Linked DNA regions of Rattus norvegicus. The protein of the gene in region 7 interacts with the protein of the main gene of each other region in a biochemical or structural test. Links are inferred from orthologs where the notes say so. Each region holds a gene or a part of one and is shown on either strand. Other genes may lie near its edges. The genes, in order: Psmc5, Hip1, Ergic2, Rig1, Trafd1, Usp10 and Ubc.

The links.
Region 1: the proteins of Ubc (region 7) and Psmc5 form a complex in vitro, tested with the Homo sapiens proteins (2 studies listed by BioGRID). The link is inferred for Rattus norvegicus from reciprocal best matches to the Homo sapiens genes UBC and PSMC5.
Region 2: the proteins of Ubc (region 7) and Hip1 form a complex in vitro, tested with the Homo sapiens proteins (3 studies listed by BioGRID). The link is inferred for Rattus norvegicus from reciprocal best matches to the Homo sapiens genes UBC and HIP1.
Region 3: the proteins of Ubc (region 7) and Ergic2 form a complex in vitro, tested with the Homo sapiens proteins (2 studies listed by BioGRID). The link is inferred for Rattus norvegicus from reciprocal best matches to the Homo sapiens genes UBC and ERGIC2.
Region 4: the proteins of Ubc (region 7) and Rig1 form a complex in vitro, tested with the Homo sapiens proteins (3 studies listed by BioGRID). The link is inferred for Rattus norvegicus from reciprocal best matches to the Homo sapiens genes UBC and RIGI.
Region 5: the proteins of Ubc (region 7) and Trafd1 form a complex in vitro, tested with the Homo sapiens proteins (2 studies listed by BioGRID). The link is inferred for Rattus norvegicus from reciprocal best matches to the Homo sapiens genes UBC and TRAFD1.
Region 6: of the proteins of Ubc (region 7) and Usp10, one has a biochemical effect on the other in vitro, tested with the Homo sapiens proteins (4 studies listed by BioGRID, with this or other methods). The link is inferred for Rattus norvegicus from reciprocal best matches to the Homo sapiens genes UBC and USP10.

Annotation. Positions count from the first base shown.
Region 1 is NC_086028.1:91,686,251-91,690,352, reverse strand, and holds the start of Psmc5 (26S proteasome regulatory subunit 8), read right to left. Parts: upstream 2,801-4,102; 5' UTR 2,786-2,800; coding exon 2,762-2,785; intron 2,161-2,761; coding exon 2,089-2,160; intron 337-2,088; exon of another isoform or gene 211-336; intron 1-210. Other genes in the region: pre-rRNA 2'-O-ribose RNA methyltransferase FTSJ3, read left to right, coding at 3,321-3,387, 3,556-3,661.
Region 2 is NC_086030.1:26,891,947-26,895,446, reverse strand, and holds part of Hip1 (huntingtin-interacting protein 1), read right to left. Parts: intron 3,147-3,500; coding exon 3,041-3,146; intron 642-3,040; coding exon 518-641; intron 1-517. UniProt on the Homo sapiens protein: Plays a role in clathrin-mediated endocytosis and trafficking. Involved in regulating AMPA receptor trafficking in the central nervous system in an NMDA-dependent manner. Regulates presynaptic nerve terminal activity.
Region 3 is NC_086022.1:182,847,991-182,851,490, forward strand, and holds part of Ergic2 (endoplasmic reticulum-Golgi intermediate compartment protein 2), read right to left. Parts: intron 600-3,500; 5' UTR 563-599; coding exon 457-562; intron 1-456. UniProt on the Homo sapiens protein: Possible role in transport between endoplasmic reticulum and Golgi.
Region 4 is NC_086023.1:60,116,898-60,120,995, forward strand, and holds the end of Rig1 (antiviral innate immune response receptor RIG-I), read right to left. Parts: intron 2,473-4,098; coding exon 2,176-2,472; 3' UTR 501-2,175; downstream 1-500.
Region 5 is NC_086030.1:40,836,251-40,838,459, reverse strand, and holds part of Trafd1 (TRAF-type zinc finger domain-containing protein 1), read right to left. Parts: intron 2,053-2,209; coding exon 1,976-2,052; intron 1,420-1,975; coding exon 1,189-1,419; intron 608-1,188; coding exon 487-607; intron 22-486; coding exon 1-21. UniProt on the Homo sapiens protein: Negative feedback regulator that controls excessive innate immune responses. Regulates both Toll-like receptor 4 (TLR4) and DDX58/RIG1-like helicases (RLH) pathways.
Region 6 is NC_086037.1:64,916,297-64,919,796, reverse strand, and holds part of Usp10 (ubiquitin carboxyl-terminal hydrolase 10), read right to left. Parts: intron 3,456-3,500; coding exon 3,278-3,455; intron 204-3,277; coding exon 38-203; intron 1-37. UniProt on the Homo sapiens protein: Hydrolase that can remove conjugated ubiquitin from target proteins such as p53/TP53, RPS2/us5, RPS3/us3, RPS10/eS10, BECN1, SNX3 and CFTR.
Region 7 is NC_086030.1:36,899,087-36,903,299, reverse strand, and holds the start of Ubc (polyubiquitin-C), read right to left. Parts: upstream 2,801-4,213; 5' UTR 2,734-2,800; exon of another isoform or gene 2,171-2,733; intron 1,001-2,170; 5' UTR 998-1,000; coding exon 1-997.

The DNA.
Region 1 (4,102 bases), on a different chromosome or scaffold from region 7:
ACACAAGCTTCCAAGGAGGAACCAACTGATAGTTCTACTCAGCTGTGATGCTTATGACCCACAATTACCATGGTGGCACCCAACAGTTCTCTAACTGGACTGCAGCCTGCTTAAAGGGAGGAAAACAAAGCCCGGTACTAGACACATAGTCAACTATGCCGGGCTCGTTACGTTATGGATTGTGAAGAGCCTACAATCACTTTACTAAACCTTTTTTTCCCCATTCACAATACAGACCAGGCACGGTGGCCTAGGCTGAGGAGTACACAGGGTAGGTTTACTCTGTTTCCATACAGTCAGTGTAGGAACACAGCCTGTGGTAAGCACAAGGAGGCCCACTTTACTAAGTCTGCATAATCTGTAACTGCAGTCTATTACAGATAAATGCGGTTCTAGTCCCTTCTCTTGAAACTTCTCTTGGCAACAAATGGAGACAATTACAGACAACCACAACTGACCAAAACGTAGAAGTCAAGAGACTGCATTGCTGGTCCCAACTGACATCTACAGTGCAACTCCTAAACCCAGGGCTCAGAGGTCATTTTGGAAGAGGGGGCAGAAAGATCCTAAGAGCCAGATAAACAAGGTTTGCTGGGAGACTGTTTCTTAGAAATGTCAGAGATTGGGCTGAAGAGATGGCTCAGCGGTTAAGAGCACCGACTGCTCTTCCAGAGGTCCCGAGTTCAATTCCCAGCACCCACATGGTGGCTCACAACCATCTGTAATGGGATCTGGTGCCCTCTGCTGGTGTGTCTGAAGACAGCTACAGTGTACTCACATATATAAAATAAGTAAATCTTAAAAAAAAAAAAAAGAGTCAGAAATGCTACACTCATGAAGTCTCATCGACATGGATTCTTAAATTAGACAAGTCCTGAACACTGGTGACACCAATGGACACGCTAACATGGAAGGGAGAAGTTCACTCATGGGGCCTCAACCCCAGACAAAGAATTATGGCTCCTGAGGAAAGCTGAGAGGAAGACAAGGAAGAAGCGCCCCGTTTGGTTATGCAGTACCCAGTGAGCACATACATGCAGGTAACATTATACAGACTGAACAGGTCATGTCTGTGTATTTAGGAACACCCATAGAAGGGGTGGTTATGCAGTACCCAGTGAGCACATACATGCAGGTAACATTATACAGACTGAACAGGTCGTGTCTGTGTATTTAGGAACACCCATAGAAGGGGTGGTGGTGATAAGGATTTCAAAACATAAAATTAGAAAAAACAGTTAGTTTTAAAAGGTAGGCACGACGACACAGGCTTGTAATTTCTACCCTAAGGAGGCTGAGAGCTGGAGAATCCCAGCCCATCTGGGCTACACAATGAGAATCTATTAAATAAACAAAAGTAAGACAAAGGCAAGACAATAAAAGACAGACAACAACATCCATCCTTCCGCCTTATTTCAGACCCGAGAAAGGTGAAGCACTAAAGACCAAAGCAGAAGCATTAAAGCATGGTTAAAAGTGGTTGAGAGTCCCAGCTGCTCCGGGAGAACCTGGGCTGGATTCCCAGCACCCACACGGCAGCTCACAACCTTCCGTGACTCCGTTTCCAGGGCTCCTACACCATCTTCTGGCACAGACATAGATGCAAGCAAAACACCCAAACACAACATAAAATGAAAAGCCTGAAAAAGCGAGCGAGCGAGCAAACAGAAATCCTAACTAAATACCATTCCCATCCAAGAGATTACCAATATACGTTACACTGCTTGTTACTTCCTAACCACAGAGGAGGGGCTGGAGAGGCGGCTCACCAGTTAACAGGGTTTACTGCTTTTGCAGAGGGCCTGGGTTTAGTTGTCACTCTAAGTGCCTGGGAAAGATAACTATCTGTAACTCAAGTTTCAGGGGATCCACTGCCCTCTTCTGCCCTGCGCAGGCACCTGCATACATATGATGCATATAAGCTTACGAAAGCACACATATACACATATGCATAATAAATTAACAACTGAAGAGCTACAAGAACGACACTGGAAAAGAACACTTTGCTGCACTCCCAGTGGAAAAAGGACGTTGAGAAATCTGCACCTACCAGCTAGCTCTCAAGCTCCCTCTGGTGTCTGGACTTACCTGGAGTTCTTCAATCTTGGACAGATAATATTGACGGAGTCCACTGCCTGCCTTCCCCTCTTCCAGTTCCATCTGAAGACAAGTGTAATTGTTAAACAGTTACGTAAACTACTAAGGGATAAAGCCAAAGTATTTTCAGGGCACTTTACCATATAGCTTAAGAAACAAGGCCAGGAAAGTATCATTCCCTTTTCCTCAGAAACTGGTTATCTCCATAGGTGAGGTCTGTGTGTTTGAACTGCAAAGGCTTAGTTATTGGTTCTAATCCTTCACTTTTGAATCCACTAAAAGGATGCAATTACCGCCTACCTTCGAAGACTTTTAGGAGGCTCAAGGGGCCATATACTTACAGAGCGCTTTGCTCTGTGGCAAGAGCTATACAAACCCAAGGTGTAACTACTACAGACAAAGGCAGAACAGAAGGACCAAGTCCAGGTCCCACCCAGGCCATTCCGGCTTGCCTAGCTCTTCATTCAGTTTTTACCCAGCCCTGTCCTGCTTACCGCGGGTGGCGCTGACACAGCAGATCCAGTTCCAGGCAGGGTCAAGTCTGACGTGGTCCACCCACCCCTGATCCACTCGACCCTTTTGCTAGTGGCCACCCCTCAGTTCAGATTTTGTGCACTCCACACTCGGCTTGGATGCCGCCCTGACGCCGCGGCAGAATCCTTACCTGCTCTGGCCCATCAAGCGCCATCTTCCCTCCTTCGGCAGGGACCGCCGGCATCCAAGTCACCCTATTGCGCAGGCGCGGAGCCGAAAGCGTGCGACCTGGGTCACGACCGAGAACAGTTCCGGGTCAATGGGCGGGGTGTGTGGTGAGACAATAACAGTGGCTTTATTACAGGCTCTACTGGCGGTTAGTAGGTTTGTAAAGAGATATATAACTTATGGCGGATGCTTCCTAGAGTCTAGGGAGTAGTTATTGTACTCTACTTCCTAGCCTCTACTTTTAACTTGCAAGACACGCTGACAAAATTTTTGGCCACACTCAAAATGGCGTAAATCAAGACGCTAGGAACACAGGGAGCGCGAGCGGAAGCGGAAGTACGATCACTACCCACATGTGCTACTTCCCTAAGTGTTGAAAACCTGCGGAGTTAAGGGCTATCTAACGTCTCGGTAAGTGATTGCTTCGCCACCCGAGGAACCGAAGCAAAAATCCAGCGCTCTGAAAGATATTCTCAACTTTTTCTTTCTCCCCAGAGTGAGTGATACTACCCCATCCCGCCATGGGCAAGAAAGGCAAAGTAGGCAAGAGCCGGCGGGACAAGTTCTATCACTTGGCCAAGGAGACCGGTGAGTGGGTTTGCGCTGCGTGAATAACATATCAGCCTTTACGCTTTTTCTAATATTGTGTTCCTTTTCCTTAGGGGGAGGGTGATGGGGTTGTGAGGCTGTGGAAGTCCTCTTAGAAAAGGCATCCGTAGACGTTATTGTTTTATACATCCACTCCCTACGGTCTAGGTTATCGTTCGCGTTCTGCCTTCAAACTGATCCAGCTCAATCGCCGCTTTCAGTTCCTTCAGAAAGCCCGGGCCTTGCTGGACCTGTGTGCTGCACCTGGAGGATGGTAATATTTGGTTGGCAGGGACTGCTTGTGATGATACGTCCCTTGCACTGGCTGGCTTTGAGTTGCTTTGGGGGAGGATGGAAATCCGATTATACAATTCAGATTAAATATTCCATAGCATGTGTCTCTCCTAAATTTTGGAAGTCAGTGTCATTCTTTTTTCCCCTCTCGTGGGACTGAACCTAAGGACTTACTCATGCTAGGCAGTCGCTCCACCACCGAGTTATATCTCCAATCTGCTTTCTTTTCATTGAGACAGGGACTCTCAGAAATTGCCCAGGCTGGCCTTGAACGTTTGGCCTTGATAGCTGGTAATGCAGCCCTGTGTTGCTACGCCCAGCAGCTTGCTTCTTGAATGTGTGCATAGACAATTTGGCCAAGACACTTAACAAGTGCCCCTTAAGAGGCTGGGAAATCACATTGCCAAGGGATGAAAGGTAT
Region 2 (3,500 bases), about 10 Mb from region 7:
AGAAGGCAGAGGCAAGCAGATCTCTCAGTTCAAGGCCAGCCTGGGATACATAGTGAGGTCCTATCTTTTTTTTTCTTTTTTTAAAGAATTATTTATTTTATGTATATGAGTACACCATTGCTCCTTAGACACACCAGAAGAGGGCATCAGATCCCATTACAGATCGTTGTGAGCCACCATGTGGGTACTGGGAATTGAACTCAGATCCCCTGGAAGAACAATCAGGTCTCTAAACCTTTGAGCCATCATCTCTCCAGCCCATGAGGTTCTGTCTTAAACAAACAAACACACACACACACACACACACACACACACACACACACACACACACACACGTGTATGTGTGTGTGTGTAGAGAGAATCAAAGTAGAAGAGACCTGTACACATTAGTAAAGTCATGTATGCTTACACGCACACACCACACATTAAAAACAAAACAAACAAACAACAAACAAACAATTAAAAATACAGAACTAATTGAGATCATGGATCAGAGATGCAGAGTGCGAAAGGCTACCTGTTTCCTCAATTTGAGATTTGCCGGAAATGGTTGAGGCCACCACAGCGGCCGTGGCCTGGTTCACTCCCCGAGAGGCCTGCTGCAGCTGGGTCAGATTGAGGCTGCCCTTGTTCGCTTTCACCTGCCAGGACAAAGGGCATTTACGTTCACTAGACATCAGGCGCAGCAAGACGGGGCCAAAAGGCTGGCCCGACGGTGCTTAGCAAACACCATCTGTTGTCAGCTCTCAAATCCAGTGTTGCCCATGGTACCGGCCCGGGACCTACCTCGAGTAAAAAGGACCCCTGGAATACAGGTTGGGTTACCCTATGCTCTAGCGTGCATAGTTATCTGCATGAACTCGTCCATGTGTGAGACAAAGGCCTTGGGATCCTAAGTAATAAGGGAGGAATAAAGACTATTCCTGGGTGAAGTTCTGGTCCAATGGTGAAAGAGCCCACCAATGTCTTCCCAGGAGCATTAAATGCTTTGGTGCTTCAGTTCAGAGACAAAGGAGGAGCAGACATTGGTTATATGGATTCCAGGGGCTAAGTCAGGTGACTGATAGATGGCTAAGCAGTTCCATCACCGGATACTTTGTTTTTTGGGACAGGGTCTCACTATGTAGCAGCTTTGGCAGGACTGGAACTTGCTTTATAGACCAGACTGACCTCAAACCCACAGAGGTTCACACACCATTGTGTCCTGACTGCTGAGATCAAAGGGGTGGGCCAACATGCCGGACTAATAGATACCCTTTTGTTTTTCTTTTTCTTTCTTTTTTTTTTTTAAAGATTTATTTATTTATTATATATAAGCACACTGTAGCTGTCTTCAGACACACCAGAAGAGGGTATCGGATCTCTTTACAGATGGTTGTGAGCCACCATGTGGTTGCTGGGAATTGAACTCAGGACCTCTGGAAAAGCAGTCAGTGCTCTTAACCGCTGAGTCATCTCTCCAGCCCTTGTTTTTCTTTTTAAAACGTATTTATTGGGGCTGGGGATTTAGCTCAGTGGTAGAGCGCTTACCTAGGAAGCGCAAGGCCCTGGGTTCGGTCCCCAGCTCCGAAAAAAAAAAAAAAAAAAAGAATAAAACATATTTATTTACTTTTATTTTTATGTACATTGGTGGTTTGACTGCATGTATGTCCTTGTGAGGTGCAGGATCCCCTAGACCAGGAGTTAAAGACAGTTGTAAGCTGCCATGTGGGTGCTGGGAATTGAACCCAGGTCCTCTGGAAGAGCAACCAGGGCTCTTAACTGCTGAGCCATCTCTCCAGCCCCCAGATACCTTTTTCTTGAAACAGGGTCTAACCACGCAGCCCTAGATGTATTTGAACTCACAGAAATCTGCCTGTCTCTTCTTCTTGAGTGTTGAGATTAAGTACATGTACCACCATGCCTAGTGAATAGATGCTGGTTTAATTTTGGATACCAGGAATGGGACCCAAAGCCATGTACTTGCTAGGCAGGGGCTCTACCACTGAGCCACGCCCCCAGCCCCTCACTGGGGGATTCTAGGCAGGGGCTCTACCACTGAGCCACACCCCCAGCCCCTCACTGGGGGATTCTAGGCAGGGGCTCTACCACTGAGCCTTGCCCCCAGCCCCTCACTGGGGGATTCTAGGCAGGGGCTCTACCACTGCCTCTTACCAGCAGACCCAAGGCAAGTACTTTGACACTAAACTGTCCCCTCAGGCATTTTTAAATTACTTTTTATTTTAAATTACTTTTTATTATTTATGTGGTGCTTATGTGCAGCTGTGCATGTGGAAGTCAGAGAACAACTGGAGTCCTTTCATTCTCCATGTAGGTCCCAGTGATCAATCTCAGATCATCAGGTTTGGTAGCAAGTCCCTTTTCCTGACTGAGCCATCTCACTGGCCCCTGTTTAAAATTTTTATTCTGAGCCAAAGTCTTGTGAGATTGCTCAGATTGGCCTTAAATTCATTTCAAGCCCAGGCTAGCCTTTAACTTTTAATTCTCCTGCCTCATCTTCCGAAGTAGCTGGGATGACTGGTCCATGTCACCTGGTCCACCTGAATGGTACTTGGAAGCTGATAAGCCTGGGACCCTCGAAATCTACTGACAAGAGTGATGAGAGCAGCAAGCCATGCATGTGATGAGCTGGGGGAGGGGCTCCCTGCTGGCACATATCAGGCTGTTTTGTTTAGTTGGCTTTTCAACTGTTTCTCTGTGTAGCCCTAGCTGCCCTGGAACTCAGTCTGTGGATTAAGCTGGGCTTGAACTCAGAGTCTTCTGCCTCTATCTCTGAGTACAGGGATTAAATGTGTGCCCCACCACCATTCTACTCTCCTTTTTTTTTCTTTACCAGTCCCTTTTCTCAAGAACCTTTTCTAGGGACTTAGACTATAGCAGCCTATACACTATAGGCACACATTAGGTTTTTAAAAGAGGGTGCTGTGAAAGCCCTGAGAGGGAGAACTTTTTACTCAGGACAGCTCCAAGCAGAGCTGTGGAATATCACCTGTCCCTCAGCTCAGTTTCCCGGCTCAAGTCCAGCACCAGCTGGCCCTACCTTGGATGCAGCCACAAGCTGGGCTGTGCTAGCGGCAATCTCATGCGAGCACACCATCAGCTCCTCGAACTTCCCTTTGCCTTGGACCACAAGGTCAGCAGCATCCCTGAGAACCCAGATGAGACAAGAAGGATGAAGTTACAGAGAGCAGAAAGCATCATGGCCAAGCCTAAGTCCCTGGCCAGGCGGAGGGCCCCCTGCTTAACCTGCCCCCCATCTTGTCCTGGGAGACCCTGGGTCTCTTCAAACTTCCAGAACTACTCACTCCTTTTTGTATTTATTTGTGGATGTGCAATAGCTATGTGTGTGTGTGTGTGTGTGAGAGAGAGAGAGAGAGAGAGAGAGAGAGAGAGAGGGAGAGAGAGAGAGAGAGAGAGCCTGTGGAAGCCGCAGGGCCAACACAGATGTCTTTCCACAGGTGCAATTTACCTTATTTATTTAAATTTTTCTTTTCTTTTTT
Region 3 (3,500 bases), on a different chromosome or scaffold from region 7:
ATTAAACCTAGCAATATAAATGCCAATCACCTCTTTCATGGAAGAACTATGGCAGACAGAACTTAACTAGCTCTCACTCCACTCTGGGTCCTATGAAACTCAAAAAGACTTTCACACAGCAAACATTTACCATTGCTCAACCTAGAACAGAACAGGATGTGTCAGCAGCCTTTCCTAACTCCCTCCAGTTTCAAATTCACTTACACATAAGAATTTTTATGGAGAACAATGCACAACAGGATGGCACGGAAGCCACTCTGCACTGCTCTGCTCACTGACACTTTAATAAGCCCTGCTGGAGGCACGGGCACTGCCAGATGCTAGAGTTAACACAGATCACAGAGGGCAGCAAATGGGCACAGGACGAGCAGTTACAAAGACCCAGTGGTGAGGTCTTCCTCCTGGCCAGTGCCCACATGCTGGTGATCAGTGAATCAGAGTCGGAACTGAGCTCACCTGTTCCCCCACTGGCTGATGTCTCCACATAGCTGTCAGGAACCTTGGGAAAGGCATCTAACTCTTTCACCAAACTTAAGGTTTTTCTCCGATTCAGTCGCCTCATCTTCAGAAAAACCTTCCTTTTCCTTCATATAGTCATGCTAAAAAACAGATAAATATATAGCCAATTTTCTCAGAAATTAGCAATGCACATTTTACTCTTTTCTCCATTCCTACTGACAAAATTAATGAAAGGCAATATGAAAACGCACATTAAAGTGGGAAACTGTCCATTTTAGTTAAAGAATTACAATTAGGTTGAAATATTTATTTATACGTATATACGTGTGTCGGGGCAGGAGCTACAAGGCGAAACAAGCTGAGGTGAGTTCTCAGATACTTATTCTAAATCAGCAACACAGGTGTCCCTCAGTGTCCACAGGGAATCGACTGCACAGACAGTAGGGACACACATGGCACTCCAGACTTCTCCTTAGATGGCACACCTGCTAACAATCCAGCACTTCTGCTCACACACTAAGATCATCTCTAGGTCACTTACAGATCTAAGCAGAAACCTGACTGACCTTTCAATCATTCAGTCTCTATTCGCTATACATGACGGGATTTATGTGTGTTATGTATACGGGGGCATCTGCTCATGCGTGTACAGCTGCATATGTGCATGTGGAGGGCAGACATCAATGCTAAGCATTCTCTTCAATCTCTCCACTTTATGTTTTGAGACATGGTCTCCTATGAACCTGGACCTGATCAATTCCTACAGCCTGGGGCCTGGATAACCAACGAGCCCTAGGCATCCTCTTATCTCTATCTCCCCACTGTTAGGGTTGTCAGGTATGCCAGCACACAGAGCTTTAAACATGGGCACTACGGATCCCAACTCCAGCCTTCAAGCTTGTGCAGCAAGCACCAGGTTGAGCCATCACCATAGGCTCTTATTCACCACTAAAAATATTCATGCGTTTCAAAGAAAAGCACTGCTGCGCCCCAAACTCACACCTAGCTCACAATTTAAAGGAATGTGATGTCTCTATCTATTGAGTTTAAATTTTATTCCTCTCTCATGTTCTGACTAAACTGGCTTTGGGGGCTGTTATCTTTGGAGGTACTAAGTCCAAGAAACACTTCATATTGTAGCCTTATTTAGAACATATTTACATTTATATTCATACTCTCACCCTGACCCCGTGTGTGTGGGGGCGGAGGGGTAGAAGGGTGGGAGGGAGGGAGGGAGGGGAGAGAGAGATCTCCTTTCTCATGAAGCAGCCTCTTTCCTTGAAACTCAGTGAGCACCCCAATCTCAAAACCAAAAGCTGACAAGCCAAACCACTTCAAAACCCAGGCTTTTGAAATCAGACTTGATGCTCATTTTTCCAAGGGATTCCCTCATTTTTCATTCATATTTTGGATTCCTTCGAATCTTCATTTCAGTTCCAATCCTTCAGAAAACTACCGCCTTGCCTTCTACTATATATTTTTCTTTCCTAGTGGTCCACCACTGAAATACTCAACACCGGCCTTCTACTTTCCTGTCTATTTTCCCTTGACCATCCTAACATGGCTTACAGAATCCTTCACAAACCAAGGCCATCAAATCAAATATCTTGCAGTCTAAGTTCCAGCAACACTGAAAACCTATCAATGTTCATTCTTTCCTCTCTGCCAGAATTAGTCCTTGTCCTCTCCCTCAGCTTTCCTAAGGACTGATCCCATTTACTCTTCTGTGCCTCATATGACTAGAACGGTTTCTACCCAGGGACTGCACATTCCATTTTCTCCACAGGACAGTCAAAGAAAGCTTCATGTCTAACTTCACCTTTGCAGTGCCAGTGCCTGTAAGTATTAAGGGAAGGAAGAAAAACACACAAAGTAGCACAGACTGCAAATCTAAATAGTGTCAAATCTGGGTAAATGAATACTTAAAAACACTATCCATAGGAAGAATTTCTCACTGTTCAATATAGAATCACCAGCTTTTAAACAATGGCTGTATTATAACTACTGAAAAGATGAATAGGGGATTCTACTTCCAAAACTTAAGTGTATTTTCATAATACACTTAATTAGTAGTTCCTTTTAACATACATATGAAAGTATGGCAAGCATCTGTTAAGTTTCACCAACCTCCCAAACACACACAATCACGCATTTCCTCCCTCATCTGGCTACTACTCTGTCTCAAGCTTCTGCCATGATTCTTTTCCGGGACTGTCATTTTAGAAGGAAACAGGCTGTCACTCTACAGCTTCTATCCCATCCCAGCAACCTCACAACTTACAACTTCTTCCAAGAAAGCCATTCAACCTCTAACACTTGTCACAGTATAAAGCCACTGTTATGACATGAACATGCTACCCAACTGATTAAAAATTAAAATTAACCTGCTTTTTATGAAATCCTCATGTTGTAATTCCCATTCAATACTTCATTCCTAAGACTCTCAAGGTAAGAAAGTCAGGTCATGTTTCTCTCCCTACCTCTTCTCTTTAGCGCCTGCCTCCCCTAAACAATCGACAGCTAACTCAGTAAAACTCAATGTCCTTTACATAGGAGCTTGATTCTTCAATGACAACACTTTTATTCCTTCTTATAAATGAACAATCAAACATTTTTCCCAGGAAGGTGCAAGTGGTCCTATGGAGAGCAGAGATTTAGTCCCAAGCAGTCTGGCAAAGTCTGATCCAAATCCCAGTGCTCCTGTCTCCAGGACTTGTTGCCAGCCTCTCTGCACTGAGATGCATCTACAGCTCCCTATGGCCTCTGCACCTGGATCAATCAGCAATCATCTTATTTTTCTCATCCCACCATCATCTGATATCTCCAAAGGCACCATGCCCACGTGTGGTGTGTGTGTATGCACTACCCAGGCAAACCACCTATGTGTATACAGTAGAGAACACTGCTTTAGATATACTTACTTAGTAAAACTAACACTATATCTATGTCCATCTTCAAACCCAGCTTTCCTGGCATTACTCTTGTATCCATGACCACACTGTTTCACAAAAGGGGGTCTCTGCATGATGCTTCTGTTTACT
Region 4 (4,098 bases), on a different chromosome or scaffold from region 7:
GAAGTCCGAAGACAAGCATTCGCCCACCTCTCGAAACCGACCGTTCTACTCGTTCAGTTCTTACTAACCCAGGGTTGCTCCATTCCAGGGCACACTGCGCAGTGGCTTAAGTCCATGTACAACTCAAATTGTCATTTGTTCTCATCTTTAGTCTGCTTTTCCCCACTGACGAAAAAAGGACTATTTCACTTCAACTAAATTATCATTGTCAGGGCCGGGGAGGAGGCTCAGCGGTAAGAACAGCGGCTGCTCTTGCAGAGGTCGGAAGTTCAATTCTTAGCACCCACATGGCAGCATAAAACCATCTATAACTATAGTCAGAGGGAACCCAATGCCCTCTTCTAGTGTGCATATGTGCATGCAGACCAAAAACCCATATGCATAAAATATATACATTTTAATTAAATCATTGTAATGTTTAAAAGTTTTTTCTCAAGTAATTTCTAGAAGATACCTTACACATGCTAAACAACTGTTAAGCTGCAAAGGCATCATGTACTAAAAGACATAAATGAAAGTCAGCTCCCAGCAAATTCATCTAGTCCATTTTATTGCACTTACTAAGAAGTTTATCAATAACCATTATCAAGAACTACTATGTATCATCTTTTCCACCTATCAATTAAAAGCCTAATCCCTATAGGTTTTTTTCCCCAAAAAAGTTAGTTGCCGGTTATTTTCTCTAGGCATATGTGGGAAGTGGTCATTCTGTTGACCTCCAGGGTTGATCTGGGTAGTTTGGGTGACCCCTCTGCTCTGGGTGGTCTTGGGATAGTCTTCAGATGTAAATGCCATGTAAAAAGGGCTATGTGGCCATGTAATCTCTGCAGTTTTGTTTAGGCCATTGATGGCCCTAGTGAATTGTAAGTTTTAGGAAAGTGTTAAAACCACTTTACGGCCTTCAAAACCAGTACGATTCCTTCCCTGAACTGGAGCGCCTTGGTCTGTTAGCAGTAACAGCCCTTCAGACACCTGTCTCTTGATCTGAAGAAACTAAGCTCTTTGAAGCATTAACAAACTCTGTGAAGACACATGGAATTGCCGTTTGAATACATAAGGCTTAAGAAGAAAGCCAGGCATGGTGATGCAGGCCTTCAGTCTCAGCGCCCAGGAGGCAGGAGCTGACAGCCCTCTGTGATCAAGGGCAGCCTGGTCTACAGACCCAGGGCTACACGTAGGAACAGTGTCTCAAAAAGAACAACAACAAGCCATGTTAGGGGATGAACTGGAAATATTCAATTGTTAATATCAGCCTTTATTGAAAATAGCCAGAGCCAGGCCTGGTGAAAAATGTTAATTTCAGCACTTATGAGGTGGGGGGAATCTGTGAGTTTAAGGCCAGCATGGTCCACATATCATGTTTCTGGTCTATAGAGAGATCCTGTCTCAAACAGGTGGGAGGACAGACATAACAGATGAGATGGTCTAAGAGTCTATTCAAGGAGGGTAAATGGCCCAAATTCAAAGAACAGATTACAGTAAGATGTATAGTAAATGAACAGAACAGAAATACCTTCTCAGTAAGCGTAGTAAGCTATTAACTAAAGTCTTTCACATCTTAAAAGTATGTCTTTTTAAAACACATGTTGTGCATATTGAACCTTGAAATCACCAAATTTGTGTCAGCAAAGAAATCAGTGGGAAAGACTGGGAAGGGACGGAAACCAGGAGAATCTGCAGAGGGTGGCAGGGTGGCAGGGCCAAATTCAGAAAGGAGTCAACGCAAGGGACAGAGTAGAGTACGGCTGGATCTGTGAGTGTGGTGGCCTGGAAAAGAACTAAGTCAGTGGATTGTTAAGGGCGAAAGGCAGCTTACGGCAGGTAGAGCAAAGAGAGAGTATGGGAAACCTAGCGCCAGTCATCACGCGTCTCGATGTACCGAGTAGCTGTGCATTCTCTGGTGGGCAGTTCTGAAAAATGTAAAAGGGAAAACTTTCAACCCTCCCCACCATCGCCGAGTGCTAAGAGTTATTGGTGAACAAAGCATTCGGAGCTTCAGTTTGCACTTTGTGTGGACAGAAACAGCTTAGAGCAAACAGGTCAGGTTACCTGGCACTCAACACAGTGCAAGGTTGTGTAAGAAAGGATTGTGCAAGCTTGGGTAAGAACGCATTGGCTGGTCACTTCCACACTTAAGGCATGGCTCCCTATAGCGTGAGACTGAGAAGCCCAAGATCATGTGGACATTTCTTCGGGATTGAACTGTTTTCTTTCAAAATGAAAGTCCTTCCACTTTGAGTGCCGGTTCTGAACTCCACTCTCAATATCTTCAACAACGAAGCTTTCGATTTTTATGACTGGAATCTCAAACGTCTTGTATCTCACAAAAATCCCCCAGTCATGGCTGCAGTTCTGTTTGGCACAGAATATTTTTGCTTTCTTCTCAAAACTATCATAGATCTTTGGTTTAGGGTGTGGCTTACACACAAAGCGCTCCTTAAAAGCATCTCCAAGCACAGTGTAGTGGGATTTCTAGGAGGAAGAGAGGAAACATAGTTTTAGCAACAGTCCGAAGATGCCTTAAACGCCGCTTAAGGGTGAAGAATGAATGTGATCTCACTAATTTTACAGTTGGAAGAAAAGACTATGGCCAGAATCTCCTGTGGGCCAATTAGGATCCATTTACTGGGCCTCTTGCACCTAAAACAGGAGGAAGCCCAGCTTTCCAACTCAGAAGATCACAAACAAAGTGCAAGTTCAACAGAGGCCAGAAAGGCCAGACCCAGAGCACAGGGTTGACCACCCAAGGGTCACAGGGTATGTGTGAGAAGAGGCTCATACTGGCCACAGACCCCAATGCAGACCCAGTGTCCAGTCCTCCCGGGAAGTGGTCTAAAGGGACCACTGTGAACAAGAAGCCTTTGAAATTGGAGCTGAAAGGACCTTTAACGTCTAAAGAATCAACTCGGAAAGAGGATGTCCCTCATACTAAGTAATATAACCATCCCCTAGCTAGTCAGCCATCCGCCACCCTCCGCTGGTGGCAAGAATGCCGACAGCAAGATTAGTCTCTGGAGGGTTTTTTTTTTGTTGTTGTTGTTGTTGTTGTTGTTGTTTTGCCAACCTTTAGTTAAAAGTTTTGAGGGGACCGTGTGTAATGGTACATGCCTTTAAGTCCCAGCACTTGGGAGGCAGAGACAAGGGGATCTCTACAGAGTGAGTTTCAAGATACCCAGTGCTATAGAGAGAGATCCTGTCTCAAAAAAAAAAAAAAAAAAAAAAAAGAAAGTTTTAAGGGGGAAAGGTCGAAGGCTAACCTGCAAGTGTTAACATTCTTTTTCAAATGAGGTGTATTGTTTTCATTATAAAAGCATTGTCTGTCTCAATAAGGAAATATAGAAAACAAAATAGGAAGAGAGAATTTCACTAGCAGAATTATCACTTTCATATATTTAGCCTTCCCCCCCTTTTGACAAAGATGGACCCACACTGGTCATGACAACGACTCCGTTGCTCACGTTGTGCGCAGCCGTAAGGAAAGCATCTTTATAATTTCATCTTCCGGTTATTTTCCCACTTTACCACTAACTTGCTGGCAGGTTGACACTACACCATGTTCGCTTCGAAATCACAGCCTTAACGTTTTCTCTGGTCTAATCTTCGACAGACAGTAAAGTCGCCTCAGAAGATTTGTGAATGTCTCTAACCCCGTTCCAGTTTACACACGGTTAAACATTCGTTAAAACTAAGAAATCGATTACAGATTTTTATGCCTAATCCTTAGGTTCCTGGAACCAATCAAGGGCATAACACTGTACCTAGCATAGCCTTCGTTCTCTATGCCTGCATTTGAAAAATAAACAAAAATTTAAAAAAACAACCTATTTCTTTGGAGAGTGGTGGCACACGCCTGTAGGCCCTGAACTGGGGAGGCAGGGACACACAGAGGAATCACAGACAGGCTGAAGCCACCCTGGTCTACTTAGCGAGGCTGTCTTTCAGAACACACAGTTGTCCTCGCTTCCGGTGTGCAGTGCACTGATCCATGCATGCAGGGATCTCACCAGAGGAATCAGTATTCCCTTCTGCCCGCACAGTCTTCATCTCTCCATACTCGAGCCTTTGAGTCCCTCCCATCTAACTCTTTGTAAGAGTTGT
Region 5 (2,209 bases), about 3.9 Mb from region 7:
TGTAGCCAGACGACAGGTCTCCTGGGAAGAGAAGGCGGCAATGGCTTTAGGGGGAAGGCTACCCTAGCTGTTACTAGCAGACTGTTGTGGCAGAGAGCCCACTCCACATGCTGATGTCCTGATCCTCAAGGACAGGTTCCTAACTGTTCAGCAAACAGATGTCAGCCAACTATGAAAAGCTGTTTGCAGTTGACTTTGTGGTGGGAAGTTTCAGAAACACGCACCCAGCTAGATGACTAAATAAAGCAGTCAGGAACCACAGCTTACCACAGCACTGTGATTCACAGCTGTCTTGGAAGCCATGAGCCTATAAGATCTGCACTTGGGTCAGCCTGGGGTAATGTGGGGACCACTTAGCCTCAGCAGAGCTCCCAAGAGACCCTCATGCATGGGAACTAGAGGCCTAGGCAAGCCTCCGGGAGAGCAGGAATGGGAAGCAGGCCTGAGCCAGCAGTGGCTGCAGCTTCGCTCAGCCCCAGCTGATACCCTGGTGTTTGACCCGCCTCCTGGACAGCTCTGGTGAACGGTCTTCAGGCTGAGAATCCTGTGTAGGGATGCCCTCCATTGCTCGGTGGTTTGCTGTGGCTGGGCGCTGGTCACATTGATCCTTTAAAAAAGAAAAGAAAACACTGAGTACTCTGGATGCTGGGAAGGGAAGAGCATCAGCAGGCTGGGAGACACTGACAGCCACTACAACTCCTGGAAATCAGAGGAAGCCAAGTTCTGGGAATAGAATGGACAGCCATCATGGACTCCTGAGACTCTCCTGTGGTCAGAAGAGCATGCTCTGTCTGCAGTGTTTGTGTGGTGGCTTAGGTGACAAGCAGCAGTTTGTCCTTGAGGTGGGAGGAGCTACCGAGAGCCATGCAAGGCTGCGCCTGCCCTGCCGGCTCCTCACACAGCTGACCACTGTGGGTGGGGAGCACTTTCCCCACTAACAACACAGGAGTCCAGACTGGGAAGACTGGGAAAGGCCTTTAGAGTGTGCAGTGTAGCACCCTTCCTTCCAGGAGCCTCAGGGCATCACCACATGGCAAAGCCAGAGCTGGAGCCCGTGTTAAGGAACACAGCACTCACATAGCCCAGCAGAGCCTGCCAGTCAAAATCAGGAAGCCTCCATACTCGGGGAGACGCTCCCTCAGCCCCTGCTCGAGCATACTCGATACCGTGAGCTCAGCAGGCTCTCACCTGATGGTGGAACAGCACCTCCTCTTCCAGCTGCACCCCACAGAACTCACAGGGGATGATAATGCTGTCTTCCACAGCAGCTGAACTGCTCAGGCCCATTAAAGTGTCTAACTGGTTACTTGTTGCTTGTTGTAGAAAGTTCTGGAAGATGGCACCAGGATCTTCCACCCCCCTAATGGAAGAGCTGCCAGTATTGAGTGAACGTAAGGCATGTGAAGGGTTGCAGCTTGTCTGTCATTCAAAAGATAATGTTAAAAAAATAAAAAAAAAGGTTAAGAAAAAATTCTATCAATAAACATTTTCACCAAGAAACTACTTCACCCCCTGAGTGCTGCAGAGCTGGAAAGAACAGAGTTCATCTCCACTCTACTGCTCCCTACTGCACCCGTGCCATCACCACACACGGGGCCCAAACCATAAACAAAGGCCAAACAGTCTTTTATCCTTACTAAAGGACCATTTAAAGTATTCAACCCAAAGCAGGGTGTGACCTGTCACCCAAAGCACAGACTACATAGCACCTGAGCTGTGCTGAGCGAGGCCTCATCACTTAGTCAAGTGGAAAGAGGTCCATGGCTCCCTGAAAACGAGACACAGTGCTGTGCTGTGTGCCCACAATCCCAGTTGCTTGGGACACGGAGGTAGAAAGGTCACTTGAGCCTGAGTACTACAGCATAAAGGAAAAGCGGTTACACCGCACCACCAGCGCTGCACTCGCTAAGGCCTCTTGCAGCTTGTCACACCGCCCAGAGCCTGCTCACGGTCCTGAAGAGTAACACACACCTACCTGATGGTCAATGAGCAGTTCCTCCGGGTACAGCTCCTCACAGAACTCACAGGGCAGGAGAGTCTCGTCAGCAGCACCTGGAGCCCCAAACAAACAAGTGCCGGTCAGCCCTTCCCCCAGAGTGCCTGACACACAAGTCTGACTGGGGCAGGGGTGGGTGCTGGATGCCAAGGACACAGTATAAATTCCAAAACTGATACAAGTAGAGGTTTCACACGAAAAGAAAATCCTCTG
Region 6 (3,500 bases), on a different chromosome or scaffold from region 7:
ATCTAGAAGGCTCCTGGTCAGCTGTGCGGGAGCATACCTCCTGCTTGGTCTTGGTGGTGTAGCCCTGGACAGACTCTCTTGCCACCAAGCTTTCCAAGGCATCCTGGACTGTGCGAATCTTGTCGGACTGGATGTCCAACTGCAGTGTGAAAAATGGCTGCAGCGTGGCAGATTCTTTGGAACTCTGCTGGTAAACCACAGACCTAAAAATGCAACGGAAAACACAGAAGAGTAAGAGGCCACTGTCTGTCATTTTCCCTTAAGATTAACTGACAGAGAAGGAATCAATACTCAAGTACGTTTACTCAGTATCACAGGACCAGGGACAACAGAACAGCCAAAACCACCCTGAATTTAAAAATAACTCCGCTGACTACCAGACCCTGTGATTAGCAATTGATCTGCACATTCTCCCGGCTTGGCTGAGGGGCTTCGACTTCCAAACTCTTCACTTGCACAGCAGAGCACAGCACGCACCAGCTAACAAACTCAAGCAGAGTGGGATGGGGAGTGTTTAACTAAGTGTCACAGCCTGTTCTAGTGAAATGGGGACGTGGGGGGATCCCCAGGGGAGCAGGACTTTTAAGGCTGCTCTCCTGCTATAAAAACATCAGGAGGAGGAAGGGTAACAAGCTAAGGATAAAAACCACGTTAGCGATCCGGGAAGAGAGGTGAGCAGCCTCGCAGCTAAGGCACTCAACCTTGTTTTCTTACTTTTTTTAATTCATCTTTCTTTTCCTCAGTTCTGAATAAAAACCATAAGTATGTCTCATCTCTCACTTAACCTCATCCAGGGAACGTTCTGAGACTCAACAAAGCAGCCTGAGTCCTAGTTTATGAGCAAAGCAGAGCTGTGGGAGGAAACTCCAACTTAAAGGGACAGATAGGCACCCAGCCGAGACCCTTTCAGAGTCCAATGCCCCAGCCTTCCTCCAGAGTGCCAGGCAATGACTGACACTCCTAGGGTTCCCAAAAGGAAGTTGAACAGCATCAATGAAATTAAAGCAGGGTGGGGTGGCGCACTCCTCCGATCCCAGCCCTGGGGCAGTAGAGGCGGACAGATCTCTGAGTTCAAGGTCAGCCTTGTCTACAGAGTGAGTTCCAGGACAACCAGAGCTACACAGAGGAACCATCTTAAAAAAAAAAAAAAAAAAAAGTAAGTGCAGAAATCAAGACCCTCTTGACTCCAAAACCTTTCATTCATCAGAAAAGGACCACCCCCTCCCCCCAAAAAAGGGTCTCTCTAGGGAAACTAAAAACTGCAGAAAGACAGTGACTTGGGGCCGTCCCTGGTCAGAATGAAGACTCTAATTCTGTCTGAAATGCAGTTCAAGTCATCAGGTCATCCGAAGTCCTCATTAGCTGGGTGCTCAGAAGGCTGAAGCAGGAGGACTGCCATGAGTTTAGGCCAACACGGGCAGTAGAGACCTTGCCTTAGATAAACAAAACAAAACTGGAAAGAACTCCTTGCCTAGGCCCAGGGTGCTGCTGGGATGGACCGTGCTTGCTGGTGCCCATGATGCTGGGTTCTAACCTCAGCACCTCATAAGCTAGGGTAGGCTGCATGCCCCTGTAATCCCAGCACTTGGGAGGTGGGAGAGCAAGGATGACTAAAATTCTCAAAATCATCCTTGGCTGTGGCCACACCTACCGTTGAGTGTAAGGACAGTCTGGCATACATGAGACCCTGAATAAAATGAAAATAATAATTTCTTATCTCTGCTTTTGTTCTTTGAAAAAACCATGAAGTTGACCAGAAAAACCTCACGGAAGCTACTGAAGCCAGGGCCAGCACAGAGGCTGAGGTGAGAAGGGCAGCCTGGCTTCTTCTCTGCTGTCACCCTTAGGGAAACAGCCCATGTTGCCCCTTAGTGCAGTGTGCTGTGGCAGCCTGTAGTCTGCTGTCCCTCACTGCCCTGACTCCTAACTCGGGGCTGGATGGCAAGAGCAGCAGAGGGTAGCTTCGTTCCTCTGTTGCTCACCGACCTGCCTATTTATTCCTCCACCGTGGCTCGACTCAGGGGGGCTGTGTCTGCCAAGATGAGTCACAGTGGCGACGTGTAGGCAGGGATTCCTAGACCATACCAGATCCATTAGCCCCATGAAGAACACCAGAGGAAAAGGGGGCCTGTGCCATGTCAGCGTGGCTCAGCTGGGTCCTCAGCCCTCCCCATGGGGGCCACAGAAGCAAAGAGAAGCTTCTGAGGCAGGGAGTGCAGACTCTGCTGAAAGGAGCTCAGTCTGCTACTGAGTGGACTCACTCATTTGGCACTGGATGCCTGAGAAGAGACTGGTTTCCAATACAGCATCCAGGAGATCGCACCCATTGAAGCCCACTGACTCATCTTTAGACGATAACTCGGGGCTTCTGAAGTAACTCTAAAGTCTTTCAGAAGGATGTCATGAACGAGCAGAAAGCTGTCTGAAGGACCCCAGGTCACATGTCCTCCTGGGCCAGTGTCTCCCTCCGATCCTGTCACATTCTAGCTCATGAGGCTCTGGCCTCTATTCCGTCTCACCCATTCAGTTATTTCCTAGATAAACAGTCTATGTGTCCATCAAAAAGCACATGGATAAAGCCACTTAGGTGGGAATATGTAACGGAATATTACTCAGTCTTGGAAGAGGAGATCCTAACATTCGTCAGAACAGGGATGGACTTGGAAGACATCATACTAAATGAACAGAGCTGGACACAGGACAGCCATGTGTGCTCACGCTGCTATAGATTTAAAAGCAAAGTCACCACAGTGATGTGGGGGAAGAAAACAGGAGGTCCAGGACACAGGGCACAAAGCATCAGCCCTCGGGGTACGCGGGTATACGGAGGTGGGGGGAGGGGCAGAGCACGGCTGCTTTCATCTGACAGGGAGAGGGGCACCATGGAAGCGGGGTTTCTGTGCTGACCAGTTTTCCATGGCCAACACTCCACTACCTGTGTGCATAACATCCTTCTATAGACTTTAACACATGCACTTAATAAAAAGTACAGTGATACAATGCCTCCAGTCGGACAGGAGTCTCTGTTACCAGAACAATCAAGTCAGTTTGGCTTCCTGACTTCAAGTGATGGGCCAGCACCCTTGGGGGCACTGAGGCACACAGCCCCTGAGAGCCAGGCCTGAGGAAGAGCGAATGAAAGCCAGGCAAAGCAGATGGCAGGAGGAAGGATACAGACACTCACACTCTCTCTCTCTCTCTCACACACACACACACACACACACACACACACACACACACACACACACACACCTTGAGAACATGGAAAAGCACAAACCTGATGTGTCCACCGAAAATGCCAGTGATAGGCGTCTGAACGAAATCCGCCTGCCGGGTGACAGACGTCTTGTTCTTGGGACCCACTTGCTCCCACTCGTCCTCACTGCCCTCGCCTGTGTCTTCCAGCTCCTCATCCTCTATCAAGTGGCTTCCGGGCCCATTAGAAACAGAGTGCTCTGAAAAGAAGAGGATCTGCTGAGTCAGCTTTCCTCAGAAACAAA
Region 7 (4,213 bases):
TTGCCTTGACATTTTCAATGGTGTCACTGGGCTCGACCTCCAGGGTGATGGTCTTGCCTGTCAGGGTCTTCACAAAGATCTGCATGCCCCCTCTGAGGCGAAGGACCAGGTGCAAGGTGGACTCCTTCTGGATGTTGTAGTCTGACAGGGTGCGGCCATCTTCCAGCTGCTTGCCTGCAAAGATCAGCCTCTGCTGGTCAGGGGGGATGCCCTCCTTGTCCTGGATCTTTGCCTTGACATTTTCAATGGTGTCACTGGGCTCGACCTCCAGGGTGATGGTCTTGCCTGTCAGGGTCTTCACAAAGATCTGCATGCCCCCTCTGAGGCGAAGGACCAGGTGCAGGGTGGACTCCTTCTGGATGTTGTAATCTGACAGGGTGCGGCCATCTTCCAGCTGCTTGCCTGCAAAGATCAGCCTCTGCTGGTCAGGGGGGATGCCCTCCTTGTCCTGGATCTTTGCCTTGACATTTTCAATGGTGTCACTGGGCTCGACCTCCAGGGTGATGGTCTTGCCTGTCAGGGTCTTCACAAAGATCTGCATGCCCCCTCTGAGGCGAAGGACCAGGTGCAGGGTGGACTCCTTCTGGATGTTGTAGTCTGACAGGGTGCGGCCATCTTCCAGCTGCTTGCCTGCAAAGATCAGCCTCTGCTGGTCAGGGGGGATGCCCTCCTTGTCCTGGATCTTTGCCTTGACATTTTCAATGGTGTCACTGGGCTCGACCTCCAGGGTGATGGTCTTGCCTGTCAGGGTCTTCACAAAGATCTGCATGCCCCCTCTGAGGCGAAGGACCAGGTGCAAGGTGGACTCCTTCTGGATGTTGTAGTCTGACAGGGTGCGGCCATCTTCCAGCTGCTTGCCTGCAAAGATCAGCCTCTGCTGGTCAGGGGGGATGCCCTCCTTGTCCTGGATCTTTGCCTTGACATTTTCAATGGTGTCACTGGGCTCGACCTCCAGGGTGATGGTCTTACCAGTTAAGGTTTTCACAAAGATCTGCATTGTCTATGGAAAAAAAAACAAAAAACAAAAAACCAAAAAACAGGTCAGGAATGACACAAATTCTTTAGAGTGCCACCAACCGTTGGATCTGTGAGGTGGCTAGTAGTTTAGTCTAAATAGCTACACAGACTGTTTTGAATTTTACCCCCTAAAACCAACAAGAAAATAAAAGTCTTGATGGAACAAAGTTATGAATATTAGGCATTGTCTATTACCAAGTTGGCAGGGTGGAGCGTTCAGTACGGAACTGCTGAAAGTCAGTCCCTGACTATTTGCAGTTTGGAGAAAAGCCTGACCCACATTTCACCTTGGGGGAGGGGGGTTTAGGAGGACCCACTCCAAAGAAGTCAGAAACTCAAGAGCTTAGAAGGCAATAGTTGGAAATCCCGGATTCAGGTCCCGACTGGTAGATAGAGCCAGTTACTACTACAAAACTGAACTATGTTCATATCTTTCCTCCCAGCACTGGGGACACTGAGGTGGGCAGATTTCGTGAATTGGGAGGTCAGCCTGAGACAGTGAGATCCTGCCTCAACTCTCCTTCCCCCAAGCTTTTGTCTGAACAATTAAACAGTAGTTTACTCTTACTCTTATCCTCTTAACCTCTTACTTTCACCCCATCTGTCCCTTCTCTCCCCATTCTCCTCCCTGCTCTCTCTCCACATGTTCCGACCAGCTTTACTCCCTCCTCAACTCCCCTTCCCATGCCCTGAATAAACTCTATTAAAAAAAAAAGTAGTCTGGGGTAAGTGGCACTGGCCTTGGACCTCATCACATGGGTGGTAGAGGCAGAGATTTTTTTAAAGTTTAAAACCCTTGTCAGGCTGGTAAGATGACTCAGTGATTAATAGCACTGACTGCTCTTCCAGAGGTCCCGAGTTCAATTCCCGGCAACCATATGGTGGCTAACAACCATTTGTAATGAGATCTGATCACACCTCTTCTGGTGTGTCTGAAGAAATAAATCTTTTTTTTTTTTGGTTCTTTTTTTCCGGAGCTGGGGACCGAACCCAGGGCCTTGCGCTTCCTAGGCAAGCGCTCTACCACTGAGCTAAATCCCCAACCCCTGAAGAAATAAATCTTAAAAAAAAAAACACCCTTGTCTAATAAATAGTTTCCGCAGCCATATCCGTGTAGCGAGACAAGGAAAGACTCAATGTAAGTCAGGCTCACGTTCCCCCTCTGAATTTCCGGTTCCTGTTTACTCTGGAGAGGCTACCCGAGGCCGAGACCCAAACCCGGTCCTACAACTGAGGGAAAGCTAAAGCCATCGTCACTATACACTGTGAGACCACACAAACCGCGACGTCACAGGGGCGATAGGCTAGGCTGGACCGCCACCCTCCCCCTCCCTTCCCAATCGCACTCCTGTATTTAGCAACCGACGAATTCCGGATAACCGACATCTCCCTCCCGTCTAATACCCACAGTTCTCACATCAGAGGCTCCTACAGCGCGCCAACCGAATTCAGTTCCCAACCCAAGCCTCTGACGTTCCCGGCTTAACCGGCGGCAAGCGGCCTCGCGGGCCTGCTTCCCCCAACCTGGTCCAGCGCGTCAGGACCGCGCGTCTTCCCCCTCAGGCTTCCATTTGGCCGCCATCTTGCCGCCCGGTCCTCGGCCTCAGGACAGCAGCCGTCCTCGCGGGCCACGGAAACCAAACGTCCGGGCCGCGGGCTGTCTCTCGCCCCCTCCCGCCTCCCCGCCCCCGCCGGGTGTGGCGGCTTTCTCCTCACCAGCGGTGTTGGCTGCAGTCCTCACAAAAGAGTAGAGACGGAACTGGCGGTCTCCACGGAACTAGCTGCGGGACGCGAGGCGTCTCTTTATATAGTCATCGGGAGCCCCGCCCACCCCTGGATTCCTCCGCGGAAATGCGGTTGGGGACTACTTTTTAATGCCCGGTCCAATCTCTGCAATGGAAGCGACAGGCTAAAACCATTAAGATCGCTTCATGGGGTTGTTCCACTGCGAAGGCCAGAGAGTGAGGGGCTTTGTGTGGAGGGGCAGGACTGCGACCTTGCGCGACCCCGCGGAGGGATCAGCGCCTGTGACGTGATCGGCGCTAAAACCCGGCAGGGATCACTGCAGCCGGAGCGGACCTCGGCGCAGGCGCACTGTGGCTAAGCGAGCCGGAGACCCACCAACTACCCCCCACCCCCTCCGTCAAGGGTCCCAGTCGCCTCTTTCTGTTAGGGGGACCTAGGGCTTTGGCTCTTGTTACACTGATATTCCATTGGTGGCCTCGGCTCCTAAGTTCCCTCACCTCGAGTCGGTCGTCACTGTGCCCAGCCCTCTTTGTTTTGGCACGGTGACAGGATGGATGACTGTGCAAATCTCATAACAAGGGAAATGACAACGGTTTTTTTTATTTTTTATAAAAAAAATGGGGGGGGGGGGGATCTCTCCCCAGTTTGGGAAAACGAATCTGAATTCGTCAAGAAAAGCAGTCAGTCCTCACAGTTCTTGAAAACTGTTGGCATTAGATCTGAAGCCCAGTGGGCACTAGATCTTTCCAGATTCTTCCTAAGTCTGTTTATGTCTGGTGTCCTTGGATTCGAGAAGGTTCTGTTTTCTGTTCGATTGTCACTAAGGAAAGGTCAAAATATCAAAATGTTGTTCATATTCTGAGACTGAACCCATCGAAATCCTATTTTTTTAATTTTTGTTGTTCAGACAGGGTTTCTCTGTATAGCCCTGGCTGTCCTGGAATAGGCTTCGTAGACCGGGCTGGTCTCAAGTTTACAGAGATCCTTCTGCCTCTGCCTCTAAGTGCTGGTCTACAGGGCTACACAGTGAAACCTCGTCTTGAAAAAAACCAAAACCAAACAAAAACCCACACACACACACAAAAAGTACACGTTTAGTACAATGTTCAGATTACAGCAAACATATACCCCACTTGTAAAATTCAGCCTATTCAGGTTTTTGAAATGTAAGGCCTGAGACCTTAGAAGGTAAGAATTGAATCCCTAGGGTAGAGAGATGGCTCAGCAGTAAGAGCAGGTCTTCTTCCAGAGTTCAATACTGAGCAACCCTGTCAGGCAGCTAGCTTACAAAGGCCTTTGACTCCAAAGCTTCTCAAGGCTTCAAGGAGGTCCAATGTCCCTAGGGGCACTCACATACATGTAGCATGCACACACACAGACACACACACTATTAAATGCCTTTAATCTCAACCTTTTTCTTTTTTGAGATTTTTTTTTGAGACAGGGTCTC